3 linked regions of the Macaca fascicularis genome follow. The main gene of each other region encodes a partner of the protein of the gene in region 3 in a complex. Links are inferred from orthologs where the notes say so. Each region holds a gene or a part of one and is shown on either strand. Other genes may lie near its edges.

Region 1 (4,517 bases), on a different chromosome or scaffold from region 3:
GTACATCAGGTGCCTGGGGTGACCTACTTGCCCATTCATTTCTTATTCAGTCCACATTAACGGAGTCCACCCTTGGGCCAGGCACAGGGATAGCAGGGGTAGGCACCCAGCTCCCTGAGGATGAAAGGCAGGTACAGAGGAATGAATGCTTGTACCTGAAGAAGCACTGATTTTTTTGGGTTGAGGCTTCCAGTGACTATGTTGCAAACTCGAGTACTAAAACAGTTGATGTGATTTCACTATTTAGAAAATGTAGTGTTTTTGTTTCTTTTACTAAGTTACACTGACTCACAGACCTGGTCTCAAAGCTTCAATTACAGTAACCGTTTACCCTTTCAAGTGAGTTTTCGCACACTAACAGATAAGTGAAACAGAATTACAAAATAAAGTTAATGCTGAAAACAATGGACCTTTATTAACATCAGCGCCGGCTCACCGTATCTATTTTAACTCCCATCTATCCTGGCGGCTTTAAGCCCGCACTGGCGCTCCGCTCGGTCAAGCCGGGGTAACGCGGGGAGGAGGAGGTGGGTTCGCACATCCTCTCTCCACTTCTTTCGGCCTTCGTCCTTTCGCAAGTCCAGGCGAGCTGGAAGCGCCTTTCCCGAGCACGGGCCGGGAAAAGGAGCCGAGCGGGGCGGAAGGACTTTCTGGGGCCAAGGGCGGCCGCGTTCTCCGCAGAGACCACACTTCGGCCTCGGAATGGACCCAGCGTTTGTGGTTCGCGGCGTAGAACACGGGGCACGCTCCGGGCCCCTGCCGGGCTGAGCGCGGGCGAAGGGCGGACCGGACCAGGGCGAGCGGGTCACGTGCGACCGGGAGAGGCGCGGAGGGCTGGGAGTGTGCAGGAATGTAGCAACTTGCAGCGAAAAGTTTCCCTGCGCTGCCGGCCGGGCCGCGGTGCGGGCGGGCGCGCAGAGGAAGGAAGAGCCGAGAGGAGGCGGGGCCGCGGCGGCGCGGGCGGGCGCTTCTCACAACTTTAGTTTTGGCGTCTGAGGCGAGTTTCTGTCTCAGTCGGGCGCAGCCGCCGCCAGGGAAAAGAAAGGGAGGAAGGAAGGAACAAGAAAAGGAAATAAAAGAGAAAGGGGGAGGAGGGGAAAGGCAACGAGCTGTCCGGCCTCCGTCAAGGGAGTTGGAGGGAAAAAGTTCTCAGGCGCCGCAGGTCCGAGTCCCTCGCAGCCCCTCCCGAGGCGCAGCCGCCAGACCAGTGGAGCCGGGGCGCAGGGCGGGGGCGGAGGCGCCGGGGCGGGGGATGCGGGGCCGCGGCGCAGCCCCCCGGCCCTGAGAGCGAGGAGAGCGTCGCTCCCGCCGCCCAGCACCGCCCGGCCCGCAGCCGTCGCCGCTTCTCCACCTCGGCCTGTGGAGCCGGGGCGTCCGGGCGGAGCCCTCGCCCGCCTGGTTTAGGGGGTGCGCGTCGGGGGAGGCAGAAGCCATGGATCCCGGGCAGCAGCCGCCGCCTCAACCGGCCCCCCAGGGCCAAGGGCAGCCGCCTGCGCAGCCCCCCCAGGGGCAGGGCCCGCCGTCCGGACCCGGGCAGCCAGCACCCGCGGCGACCCAGGCGGCGCCGCAGGCACCCCCCGCCGGGCATCAGATCGTGCACGTCCGCGGGGACTCGGAGACCGACCTGGAGGCGCTCTTCAACGCCGTCATGAACCCCAAGACGGCTAACGTGCCCCAGACCGTGCCTATGAGGCTCCGGAAGCTGCCCGACTCCTTCTTCAAGCCGCCGGAGCCCAAATCCCACTCCCGACAGGTAACCTTGTCGCCCCTCTCCCCGCTTCCCCGTCGGGCGGGCCTCAGACCGGGGGGGCGCTCGGGAGCCGCGGCCGCCAGCTCTGGCCAGGGGAGGGGGTTGCGGGAGCTCTAGCTGGGGTGGGGGTCCCGCGGCGAAGTGGAGGAACTGGAGTCGTCCGCTCGGCCGCGGTGACCAGCTCCCCACTCCTCCCAGAGTCCGGGGCTGAGATTTGTTTTTCCTTTCGGAGTTTCTTTCTGCGGTTGCGGCCCCGGGGGGCGTGCTTTCCCTCCTTCCTTTCTTTCTTCCCGGGGTTCCCGGGAGGTTGGCGGGAGTGGAGGAGGGGTGGGGAGGAAGGAAGGGGGTGGGGGAGAGCCGAGCCTGGGCCGCGGTGGGCTTGCACAATGCGCGCGCCTCCGCGCGCTCCGCACCTTCGCTCCCGCCGGGGCCGGGCCGGGAAAGGGGGAGGGGGGCCTCTGGCATTTGTGTGTGGGTGAGTTGCCAGCGGCGGCCGAGTTTGTGAAGTTGAGCCCTGGGCCCCTTTCCTTTGCGGCCTCTCGGTCCACTTCAGTCTCCTGGGGGAGTCAAATAATTGTTCTCTTGTTTTCCAGTGTTGATTAGAGGTGGGGGTAGAACCGGTCCATTTAGTTTTTTGCTCTTTCTTTCCCTCCCCCCTACCCATTTCCCCTCCCCCTCTGCCTCCCCCTCCCGTAAGCATTTATTTTCCTCGCGGCTTAGGCGATTTCTGAATACAGGTTTCGGGCTTCCCCTGCCCAGACTTTCCTGGAAGTTGTTTATGGAGTTCTTTCACCCCTGCGCTTCCCTTGTGTCTTGGAACTTGGGTCGGCTCGCTCTTATCAAACTTAGTAGGTTGCGTGTTGGTTTCCCGATCGTAGGCTATTATTTACAGTCGGCTGAAAAGCTTTTGAATTAGCCACATCTGTACGTTGCGCAGGAACTGAGTTGCGCTTTACAGTACCGAGGTTTTAACACAAGCCTTTGATAATACACTGCGGGTTGACTCATAGGCCAAGTCCTGCCTAGTTCAACTGTGATTAAAAGTTAATGTTTGGGAAGCGATGACTAATTCTAGGATCGCCATTGCTTTTTAATTCTTATTGCGGATATGAACATGGCTGCTTTTCCACATACACAACGTTCGATTATTTTGCCAGCTTGATTCAGCATAGAAGTGAAACTATTTATAATGAGAGTGTTAACATTCCGATAGGTCCCAGTGGTTTTGTTTAGTGTAGGGTTCTCTCTTTTTCCTTCTTTTCTTTTTTCTTCTTTTTTTTTTTTTTAAAGAACTTGCTTCAGGCTAAACTTCAGCATAGGAACTTTGCCCAAAAGTTAATAGGTTTTCCAAATACTGCAATGTAGTTAGCCTACTCGGGCTGTAACTTGAGTGGAAAGAAGAGTTACCGCCCCCACTCCCATCCTCTGTCCTATTTGCGGGCCTGTTGTATATTCTTCTGTCAGAGACCACAGGGTTTTGGAACTCAGAAAAACTCACTTAACCTGATGACAAAAACCCGGGTTAAGGAGGAGGAAGGAAGGAAAAACAATTTAGCTGCTTGCCTAAACAGTTCAATTTGTCAGAAATAGACTTAGGTATGCTTTTTTTCTTACCCCTGGAAGTTGGTTTATGGACTCATTGTAAGTAAATGTGTGTTGGCATGCACCCTGCAGACTACACGGTATTTTTTCAAAGTATACTACACATAGATTGGATCCCCCATTTTGTGACAAAGAGTCACAACTGGAAAGTGTACTTTTTCTTCTAGTAGGTAATTTTTACAAGAATTTATATCCAGCAGTTCTAAAATTCATAAACTATTACAGTTTTGCTTTTAATAAGTTTTTAACTAAGTGTTGCTCATCTGTAAATTGGACTTTTATTTCTGCTAGTGATTTTCTAAATCATACTTATTCTGATGGGACACTCAGAAAGGTCTATCACTTTAAGGCATTAATGACTCTACTGAGTCCTTCCGGTTTCCTTACCTTTGTGAATCTAGGAAATTCTAACTTTTTGATAATCAAACTCTTAATTCTAATTAGACACATTTTAAAAACTATGCAAGATTGTGAATAGTAGAATGTAGGTTGTGAATACTATTGTTCACAACACAAACTGGTGACTATAAGTTGTTTTATATACATCCATTTTTCTGTCTTGAAAACTATGTTACAAACGAGAAAACAGGCATATGGAAGTTAACATACTTGTTCAGTGTCACACTAGCCAGCTTAGACTGGAACTCAGATCTTTGGGGTCTGAATGCAGAATTTTTTCTGCTTGTATAGAGTTGTGAATGTCTGTGAGTTCTTAAGTTATAATTGGACTGATAACCTCATTATCTTCTACATACAAATATATAGTTGAGTTTTTTTCATCTTGTTCATTGTAGATGGCTTTTAAGAACATTTGGGCAGTTCAAATTTGTTGCTTTCATTAAAAATTGTGTAATTTGTTATGATTTCTTTATTGATGGCGTTTTATCATGGTGGGAAAAAATGACGAGGGCTTGTTTTTTCTTGGGCTTGACCTAGAAAAAAAAATTAATTACTTAAAACCTAGTAAAAAATGCATATTGTTTGCGTTGTGTTTATACTTAGAACATTTTAGAACTTGGAAAAGCACCCATAACTGCAGTGACTTTTTAAAAATTAGGTTTTAAAATTCACTATTATTTTTGGAATGTTTTATTCATTCAGTACTAGTTGCCCTTACATGTCTGGTGTGTAGTAGGTGGAAATTCATTAGATGGACTGCTCATCA
Region 2 (4,218 bases), on a different chromosome or scaffold from region 3:
TGCATAAAAAACCATGCGGTTCCTGGACCATTATGCTGTTCCCTCATTCCCCTTTTGGTATTAATGGAATATAACAAAGAACATCTTCTGTACGATTATTTGTCAAGAATAGGGCCAGTGAGGTGGCTCAGGTCTGTAATCCCAGCACTTTGGGAGGCCGAGGCGGGCGGATCGCTTGACGTCAGGAGTTCGTGACCAGCCTGGGCAACATGGGAAAACCTAAATGTCTCTACTAAACATGTCTCTACTAAAAATACAAAAATTAGTGGGGCGTAGCGGTGCACACTTTTGGTCCCAGCTAGTCCAGAGGCTCAGGTGGGAGGATCACCTGAACCCGGGAAGTTGAGACTGCGGGGAGCCGTGATCGCACCACTGTAGTCCAGCCTGGATGACAGAGAGAGACCCTGTCCAAAAAAAGAAAAAATATTTCTAGCAGTACAGTTACAAGGTCAAAGGATAAGGCGCACATTTTTAAAAAAAAATTTCTCCTCCTGAGATAACGAAATACAGTAGTGTATTAACAACTCTTCACACATTACTCTCCAAGGTTTATCTTGTTAATCCTTTAAGACGTATCATCTCCCTATCCTTGGCTGCACCTGAAAAGAGCGGGAGTCGGCAGGTAACCCTATCTCCTCCACCAGGTGAGTTCCGGATGGAGGTGTCAACTACAAGACTAGGAGCAGAGCACTCCTGGGGTTTTGCTGGAACCATCGGCGTGGGAATGCGGTCTCTTCCCTCGTCCGAAAGACGCTAAGTTCCCGGGAGGCAGCGGACTCGGTTCTAACCTTCCTCGCCCCAGTCTCTAGGAGCGCCCTGCACGCAGTGGGCGTCTAATAAATGCAGTCGGCGCTGTTGGGACAAAAGCTCTCCCTTAAGTGGACCGGACACTAAATCCCTCCAGGTGTCACAGAGCTGCCGCGCCCGCCGCCACTTTGCTCCCTGCCTGCTCCCTCCCCGCGTTCCTCGTGGGACCCTCCGCGGCAACTTACACCCTTTCTGACAGCCGGTGCCCGCCCGGGGCACCCTGCGCGCGCCCGACGACCCCGCCCTGGCCCCGCCCCGCCCCGCTGGCCCCGCCCCGCCCGCCGGCCCCGCCTCCCGTCTCCTCCCCGCCCCCTGGAGCAGACGAGTGGCGGCGGCGGCCCGAGGTCCCGGGTCCCTCAGACAAGAGGGCGGGTGGAGGAGGAAGCGGCCGAGCCCAGAGTCCTGCTCCGGCGTCGCCGAGCACCGCCCGCCTCAGCCGACCAGCCCCGTCGGCTACTGGGCCTCGCCGAGACGAGAGGAAGGAAAGGCCGCTGCGCCCGCGAGGAGGCGGCGGGGGCGCGGGCGGAGGCGGCGCGGGCGGCCGCGGCTGCCGCTTTGTTGTGCGGCCCGGGCCGAGGAAGGAGAAGTGGGAGGAGGGGGGAGCTCGGCGTCCCGCTCCCTCCGCGGCTCATGGCGACGACGCTCGGCACATCCGGGACCCTCCGGCCGTGGCGGCCGCGGCGCCGGCTGCTCGGGCCCCAGCCCCGGCCGCTGTGGTGACTCCGCCGCGCCTCGCCGTCGCCCCCGTCCCCGTCCCGCCCGCCGCCCCCGCCGCCGGGGACATGTCTAACCCCGGAGGCCGGAGGAACGGGCCCGTCAAGCTGCGCCTGACAGGTGAGGGGGGGCGGCGGGCCGGGCTGGGCAGCCGCGGGGTGGGCGAGCTGGCGGGGGGTGCCTGTGGCCTTAGGAAGGGCCAGTGTCGCGATCAATGGTGAGTTGGGGGTCGGAGGAGTGGGAAGGCCTAGTTCAGGGAGAGTAATTGGAAAACCACTTGCTACGGCTTGGGCATTCTTTAAAAAGCCGAGGATGACTCGGGGCGGGGGGTGGGGGTGGTCTTTTGTGGAGGGGAGGATACACCGGTTCGCATCGCAGGCGGATTTCAGGTCGGAAAGTCTTGGTCAAGGAGCCCGACGCTGCCTCCCGGGTCTCGGGGAGCAGCCCCTGGGCTACCGCCCAGGTGGGATCGTGAAGGGGATGAAGAGCTCCCGTGGCGAGGATTATTGAATCCGGTTGCTGACTGCGCGCAGTAAACACTCCTTAAAGATGGAGCGCTTAACGGGAGGGTGTGCGTGTGTGTTCCCGGGTTGTTACCTTGCACACCCACTTATGCCCGCATGAAAAACCTTTACTCCCCGCCGCCGGCCACCGCTGCCGGGGCCACACACCTTGAACTCACGTCTCTCTGAGGAGAGGAGACAGGTTGACTTTTCCGGTGTGCCTGTCTGATCCGACGGCTCGGGCTCATTGTACACTGTGTTTTGGAAGTGTCTGATTGTAGGGTGGCATGTTTGGGGTTGTTCCTTGTAGGCCGCAGAACTCGTGTCTCACTTCTAACTCCCGACCTGCTTTAAAAACACACTTTTTTGGGGGGAGGGAGGGGGTACATTTCTAAGTATGTCCTCATACAAACTTTAGAGCAAACTTTCTGTTACTCTCCCCACCCTCCCCCTTCCTTTTTCTAAATGGAAAAGTATGTCCGGAGGGGTTGTCAGATAGAAGACTACACTTACAAAGTGTTTATGATTCCAGGTGCATGAAATCTTTAATATTACAGGTACGTTTTACTTACAGTGCCATTTTTGGTATTCTTACATGGACATGCCACCCCCGTTTTAGGAGCACTTGTATTTGGTTTGAAAAGGAATTGAAATCACGTCGTTATCCTACCTTCACCATTTACCCCTGATAAATTGTCCACGTTTATATTCGGGTGAGTGGTGAGAAAGATAATTTTCCGTAGAGGATTTGTGTGTGCGTGCACGTGTACGAATCAACTGTAATTATGTTTGCCCACACTAGACTTTGAGATTTATTTGGACTAATTTTGTAGTTGAATGCTTATGTGTCACATCTCAGTCCACTGGCTGAACTTGCTGGGTGAAACCTTGCAGTGAATTTGGTATTTGAGAATTTAGCTTGAATGTATGTTGGCTGCAATTTAAATAATATATTACCTTCATGACAGTTTTCCTTTCCCTAGGGAAAATTGCAAGGAATCATTAACTGAGTGGTTCTTAATGAAAAACCTGGATTGCAGGATACTTGTATTCCCCCTTCTCCCCCGCTCTCCCCCATTCAGTGTCCTTATATTGGGAGGAGACAATGGAAACCTTTATAGGGGATCTTTGTTGCTTTCGAGTTTATCTGTTGCTGTTGCTATCTGGAGTCAGTGATCGTGGAAAGAACATGTGATCCCAGGTGTGCAGAAAGCATCAGAAATTGGCTGTTTCCATTTACTTTCCTCTGGGCTATATAGATGAGGGAAAAAATAGGGATTTTGATTTTCTTCAAATAAAGTTAGTTGAGGTTTTTAGTATGACTCAGTAGATCTTAAAGTGTTTATCTGTGGTTTCCGTACTACCTATGATACGTTATAAAAATTTATAATTAAAGTTTGTTAAGAGGAAAGATTATGCTTATATTTTAGGGGAAGAGGGAATATTGAACTACATTTATAGTGATTTTGTTTCAGGTTTTTCTGAGGAGTTTTAAATACCCTGTGTCCTCTTAATAGTAAAAACAGTTTGAGGTACTCTGAGTTTCTTGCAACTATTTGTCTCTGAATCGTTTTCTCTCAAAATTTGACAAATATTAAAAACATTGTCCTTCCTTCTTTGGTTACAGTGGAGTCTCTTCTGTTTTGCCAGGAAAGTTAACATTTTTTTTTTCCATTTTTGTTCATCATTTACAAATTAGATGGTATAGATTTTAGCAAATAGATCTCAAGAGCTGGATTCAATTAGCAGCTTTTTAGGACATAAACATTAAAGGGTTAGATGGAAAAGATTGTTTTGACTGACTGGATAGATGACGGGGCTGTGTTTGATGTGCGTCCAGGAATTGGTCTGGAGCTGGTGCCCAACTTCTCAGTCCATCTTGAGAAGCCAAATAAAATATTTAACCTAGGCCTCATTTTGTTTAAAAAAAAAGTTGATTCTTTGTTAAGACCTTAAGAAATGTTTGGCGTACCTTTAGACTAAGTGTTTAACAGTTCATTTAGATCTGGGTTCCCTAATAGAGGAAAAAAAATCACTTAAAAAAGACAGATCTCACAGTGAATTTATATTTGGTTTACAATACCCTTGGGCTATAAGGTGTTTTAAAATTATTATTCTTTGCTTTAAGTTAATACCATATTAGTATTTTAAATTTATAGAGTACCTTTGATTTCAAGATGTTGTATAAACTTTA
Region 3 (4,670 bases):
CCGGCTCTCTAAGCTCCAAAACTCGCAGCGAAGCCCGCTCGGTGCTCCCTGCTTTTCCAATTTCTCCATGGCTCCGGCCGGGGCTCAATCGATTCTGGGAGCTTCTCTGCCCCCCACCTCTCTCTCTCCTCCGTCGGTACCCCATCTACAGCCCCGGGAGGGGGTGGCGGTGGCGGGGGGTTGGGGGGAGAAATAGCTTTTAGAAACCCGATCTGTTGTTTGCGAAACACAATCGCTTTTTTTTTTTTTTTTTAAAGCGACAGGGTGTCTAGACGGCCACGTGACGAGGCCGGAGCCGGGCGCGCCACTGCGCAGTGGAACCAGCCGAGCAGAGGGCCGGAGGGGGGGTGCGGGGGGGCGGGGAGGAGGCGGCGGCGGCGGCGGCTGGGGGCGGGGGAGGGAAGGGGGAGGAAGGGGGAGGGAAGGGGGCGGGGGCGGGGGCGGGAGGCCTTGCGGGAGGCGGCGAGGTCTGGGCACACTCGCTTGCTGCTCGGCGCACTGAAGATCTTGTCCCCGAGCCGCGCCAGCCGAGCCAGCCGGGCGCCGTGCTCGGTCCGCTCGCCGCGCGGGAGAGAGCTGCCCGAGACAGAGCCAGTCCGCCGCCGCCGAGCCGCCGAACGCCCGGCCCCTGAGCCCCAGAGTGCGGCGCGGCGAGCCCCTGGCGGCGGCAGAAGGACCAGAGCGCCAGGAGAGGGCGGACCGGGGACAAGGAGGCTCCCGGGCGCGACGAGGAGAGTCTCGGAGGAGGAGGCGCCGAGAGGACACCGGGGCCTCCTGCCGCCGCTGCTGGGGCCAGGCGAGCAGCCCATGCGGGGACCCTCGGCGGGCAGCCGCGGCCAGGGGAAGGGACACCGGCGGCCCCCGCACTAGCAAGCAGCTTGTGCCCAGGGGGGGCGAGAACGCGCGACCCGCCTGGGGCCCTCCGCCGCCGCCGCCGCCGCGCCGCCCTCCCCCGCGCTGTCAGCCCCGCCGGGCTCAGCCGCCGCCGCAGCATCTTCTGCCCCTGCGCCCCCGCCAGCCTCGAGGAAGTCCCCGCCGAGGACCTGGGCCCCCAGGAGCGCAGGAGGAAAGACCAGAGACTCCCCTAAACCACCCAGATGCGCAGGATTGAAGCGGTCTAGCCAAAGCTTTCTGTGGATTAAAAAAATACACGATTTTTTTTTTTTTGGCAGAAGGAGAGGAAGACCAGCGGGGCTTTGCAAGGAAAAAAGGGGGGGATGTAACTCGTGGATACATTTTTCCACCCCTCAAACATCTTGTTATACTTTGTAAACATTTTCTTTTTTTAAACCCCAGCTCCAGCCGGACGCCCCCAGACCTCAGAGGTTCGAGGAGGTGGTGTTTTTCATTTGGGGCTTTGCATATTTGGTTGTTAGGTTTTGCGAGAGCCTTCTTATTTCGCCAGACATCTCATGCGGGGTGAAGTCCACTCGGCCCCCTCCCCTGAGTCTTCGTGTGCACGGAATTCGAGGAGATCCGGTTACTAAGGATATAGAGAAAAAAAATAAATTGCGTGCTTGCTTTTTTTTTTTTTAATTGCCTGCTTCTCCCCACCCCCAAATTAAGTTGCTTAGCAAGGGGGAAAGAGGCTTTTTCCTTCTTCCAGCAGCCCAGCCGAACGCCTTTCGCTTTTTTGCCTCCGCGGACCTTCCATGTAGGAAGCCGAGGCTGGCGAGCCCGACATTCGGGAGCCACTGCGGGGGGGCCTCTTTTTGGGGAGGCGCCGACGGGGGCAGGCTCGGCCGTCCCCAGGGAAGCGGCGGCCGGGTTCCTCCGGGGCGCGCCGGGGCCGGAGAGCCGCGCAGGGCGCGGGCCGCGCGGGGTGGGGCAGCCGGAGCGCAGGCCCCCGATCCCCGGCGGGCGCCCCCGGGCCCCCGCGCGCGCCCCGGCCTCCGGGAGACTGGCGCATGCCACGGAGCGCCCCACGGGCCGCCGCCGCTCCTGCCCGGGCCCCTGCTGCTGCTGCTGTCGCCTGCGCCTGCTGCCCCAACTCGGCGCCCGACTTCTTCATGGTGTGCGGAGGTCATGTTCGCTCCTTAGCCGCCAAACGACTTTTCTCCTCGCCTCCTCGCCCCGCATGTTCAGGACCAAACGATCTGCGCTCGTCCGGCGTCTCTGGAGGAGCCGTGCGCCCGGCGGCGAGGACGAGGAGGAGGGCGCGGGGGGAGGTGGAGGAGGCGGCGAGCTGCGGGGAGAAGGGGCGACGGACAGCGGAGCGCATGGGGCCGGTGGCGGCGGCCCGGGCAGGGCTGGATGCTGCCTGGGCAAGGCGGTGCGAGGTGCCAAAGGTCACCACCATCCCCACCCGCCAGCCGCGGGCGCCGGCGCGGCCGGGGGCGCCGAAGCGGATCTGAAGGCGCTCACGCACTCGGTGCTCAAGAAACTGAAGGAGCGGCAGCTGGAGCTGCTGCTCCAGGCCGTGGAGTCCCGCGGCGGGACGCGCACCGCGTGCCTCCTGCTGCCCGGCCGCCTGGACTGCAGGCTGGGCCCGGGGGCGCCCGCCAGCGCGCAGCCTGCGCAGCCGCCCTCGTCCTACTCGCTCCCCCTCCTGCTGTGCAAAGTGTTCAGGTGGCCGGATCTCAGGCATTCCTCGGAAGTCAAGAGGCTGTGTTGCTGTGAATCTTACGGGAAGATCAACCCCGAGCTGGTGTGCTGCAACCCCCATCACCTTAGCCGACTCTGCGAACTAGGTGAGAAGTTGTCCCCTTACCCCCAGCATTTTCCGGCGCGCCAGTGCTGGAAGAAAAGCCCTTAGGGCAGTGCGTTTGTGCAGCCACCCCTCCAGGGGGAGTGTGCATCCCCTCCTGGGAGGAGACTGGGGGCCGAAAGTAGAGAAGGGACACGGGGAAACTCAAAGGGCATTCCCTGGGGTTTCCCTTCCAGGATTTCTCCTGTGTTGCCCCGAAGGGGTCTATGGGCACTGCTCCTGCACACAGTTTGCGGTTAAAAATTAGACGCCTTCATTTCCGGATCAACAAGGGGGTGCAGAGGGAGATGGGGGGGTCACGCCTCCCCGCACCCGGAAAGGCGTTGAGGTGTGTGACCGAGTTGGATTTGGTCCAGGCCCGCCAAGGAAGGCTGGGAGAAGCATGCTATAAAAAGGCTGGAAGGTCTCCGTATTTACTCCTTCAGTAAATAAGGAGAATCACGTCGAACACAAGTGGCCCAGACACTGTCGTGGCCGCGCAGCTTTGGAGTTTTGGGGCAAAGAGAGTTGGATGGAAGGCCGAACTGGGTATCTGTCTCATTTCAACTCTGCCAGCCCCAGGGTGCAGAGGAACAAACAGCCAGGAGAAGTTGGGTGTCCCCTACTTTTTCCTTCCTTCCGCACAGATAAGTCTATAGATTAGTGGGGCCCTGCGCCTCGGTGACGTTGTCGCCCCTTACTGCGCTGGGGCCAGGGCTTCTCGGCTGAGACCCTGAAACTTCTTCCCTTTTATCCTGTCAGCTTTCTCCATTCCTTCCTTTTCTGTATGTCTCTGTACACGGAGTGTGATGTGAGGGTTCACCCCGGGCGACCGCAGATCCCCCAAGTTCACCAGCACGCTTGGGCTGCATCTCCCGAGTGCGCTGGGAATGGGGAGCCCCGTGTCCCTCGCGCGGGTGCCCAGCGGACCGGCGGGGGCGGAGGTGAATTGCACCCCTGGGGGGCGGGCCAGGGCGGGGAACCGAGGTTGCTGGGAGCTAGGTCTGGAGTCCGAGAACGGGGAGGGGGTATGGTCGCCCCCCGCCTGTGAACTGTGAAGTGCGCGGCTCCGGCTGAGCCGGTGGTTTCCAGCCGGGCCAGCCGAGCGCGGCGGCGGCGGCCGCAGACGTGGAGGAGCGGAGCGCCGAGGCTGGCGCCAGGCGGCCTCTTTTGTTTATCTGACAGCTAAATATCAAGGCAATCACCGCCTCGCGGCCCTGCCTCCAACCCCCACAGCTAAGACAAACAGTTGGGCTAAAAGAATGCTTCTGTTATCATAAGTTTCTATCTCTCTTCTCATGGCTGGGCCTTTATTTTCTCTTGCTTTTTTAATTTCAGAGTCTCCCCCCCCTCCTTACTCCAGATACCCGATGGATTTTCTCAAACCAACTGGTGAGTAGATGATTTTTAAAATATCCTTCCTATCTTAAGTTAGAAATAGAGCCTCTAGAACCTGGCTTTTTGTGTGTAGGCAAAGGCTTGGAGAGGTGCTGGACTTGCTTCACTTCACGTTGGTTCTAGGTTTCCTCTGTTGGAAGTTTGGTGAATTTTTCTGTTGTGACTGGGTTTTTGTTTTGTGTTTTTGCAAAGATGTTCCCTTGATATGCTTTACATTTTGTTCCTTTTTCCTGTATTTGCGCTCTGTAGCCGGTGGGCTCAGCTTTGATACGTGGAAGCTTTAGTCCAGAAAGAAGTGTCTTGGGAACCAAATAGGACTGGTTGATGGGGAAAACTTGGAGACTTCGTGAGTGCCAGGAGCATCAACGGCAATAATGGAAAGCGTGATTAGATAGATGGGAAGGCGGTTTAAAAAGGTTCAAAGAAGACTTTGGTCTAGAGTAGACACTGGAACGTTTCAGAAGTATAGGCAGTGAAAGGAGGGTAGGTTCCCCCTGCCCCAGTCACCTGCAAGTCAGTCCTCTCCCGGGGTTTTCTCAGTATTCTCCATAGGGGCCGTCAAAGTTTTGAGCACAGCTCTGCCTGT

What was found. The genes of interacting proteins can lie anywhere in the genome.
Region 1: the proteins of SMAD7 (region 3) and YAP1 are in contact, whole or in part, in an NMR structure (PDB 2LTV), measured with the Homo sapiens proteins. The link is inferred for Macaca fascicularis from reciprocal best matches to the Homo sapiens genes SMAD7 and YAP1. Residues at the interface, in NP_005895.1 of Homo sapiens: Ser206, Pro207, Pro208, Pro209, Pro210, Tyr211, Tyr214, Pro215, Met216, Asp217; in NP_001123617.1 of Homo sapiens: Thr241, Gln242, Asp243, Tyr247, Ile249, Asn250, His251, Lys254, Thr255, Thr256, Ser257, Trp258.
Region 2: the proteins of SMAD7 (region 3) and SMURF2 are in contact, whole or in part, in an NMR structure (PDB 2LTZ), measured with the Homo sapiens proteins. The link is inferred for Macaca fascicularis from reciprocal best matches to the Homo sapiens genes SMAD7 and SMURF2. Residues at the interface, in NP_005895.1 of Homo sapiens: Glu203, Leu204, Glu205, Ser206, Pro207, Pro208, Pro209, Tyr211, Ser212, Arg213, Tyr214, Pro215, Met216, Asp217; in NP_073576.1 of Homo sapiens: Glu304, Arg306, Asn307, Thr308, Ala309, Thr310, Arg312, Tyr314, Val316, Asp317, His318, Arg321, Thr322, Thr323, Gln324, Phe325, Thr326.

Annotation. Positions count from the first base shown.
Region 1 is NC_088388.1:101,116,907-101,121,423, forward strand, and holds the start of YAP1 (transcriptional coactivator YAP1), read left to right. Parts: upstream 1-1,432; coding exon 1,433-1,753; intron 1,754-2,131; exon of another isoform or gene 2,132-2,598; intron 2,599-4,517. Other genes in the region: uncharacterized protein, read right to left, coding at 499-1,148, 1,206-1,434. UniProt on the Homo sapiens protein: Transcriptional regulator with dual roles as a coactivator and corepressor. Critical downstream regulatory target in the Hippo signaling pathway, crucial for organ size control and tumor suppression by restricting proliferation and promoting apoptosis.
Region 2 is NC_088390.1:71,250,799-71,255,016, reverse strand, and holds the start of SMURF2 (E3 ubiquitin-protein ligase SMURF2), read left to right. Parts: upstream 1-1,126; 5' UTR 1,127-1,589; coding exon 1,590-1,641; intron 1,642-4,218. UniProt on the Homo sapiens protein: E3 ubiquitin-protein ligase which accepts ubiquitin from an E2 ubiquitin-conjugating enzyme in the form of a thioester and then directly transfers the ubiquitin to targeted substrates.
Region 3 is NC_088392.1:40,812,450-40,817,119, forward strand, and holds the start of SMAD7 (mothers against decapentaplegic homolog 7), read left to right. Parts: upstream 1-1,587; 5' UTR 1,588-2,077; coding exon 2,078-2,690; intron 2,691-3,122; exon of another isoform or gene 3,123-3,235; intron 3,236-4,024; coding exon 4,025-4,078; intron 4,079-4,670. UniProt on the Homo sapiens protein: Antagonist of signaling by TGF-beta (transforming growth factor) type 1 receptor superfamily members; has been shown to inhibit TGF-beta (Transforming growth factor) and activin signaling by associating with their receptors thus preventing SMAD2 access.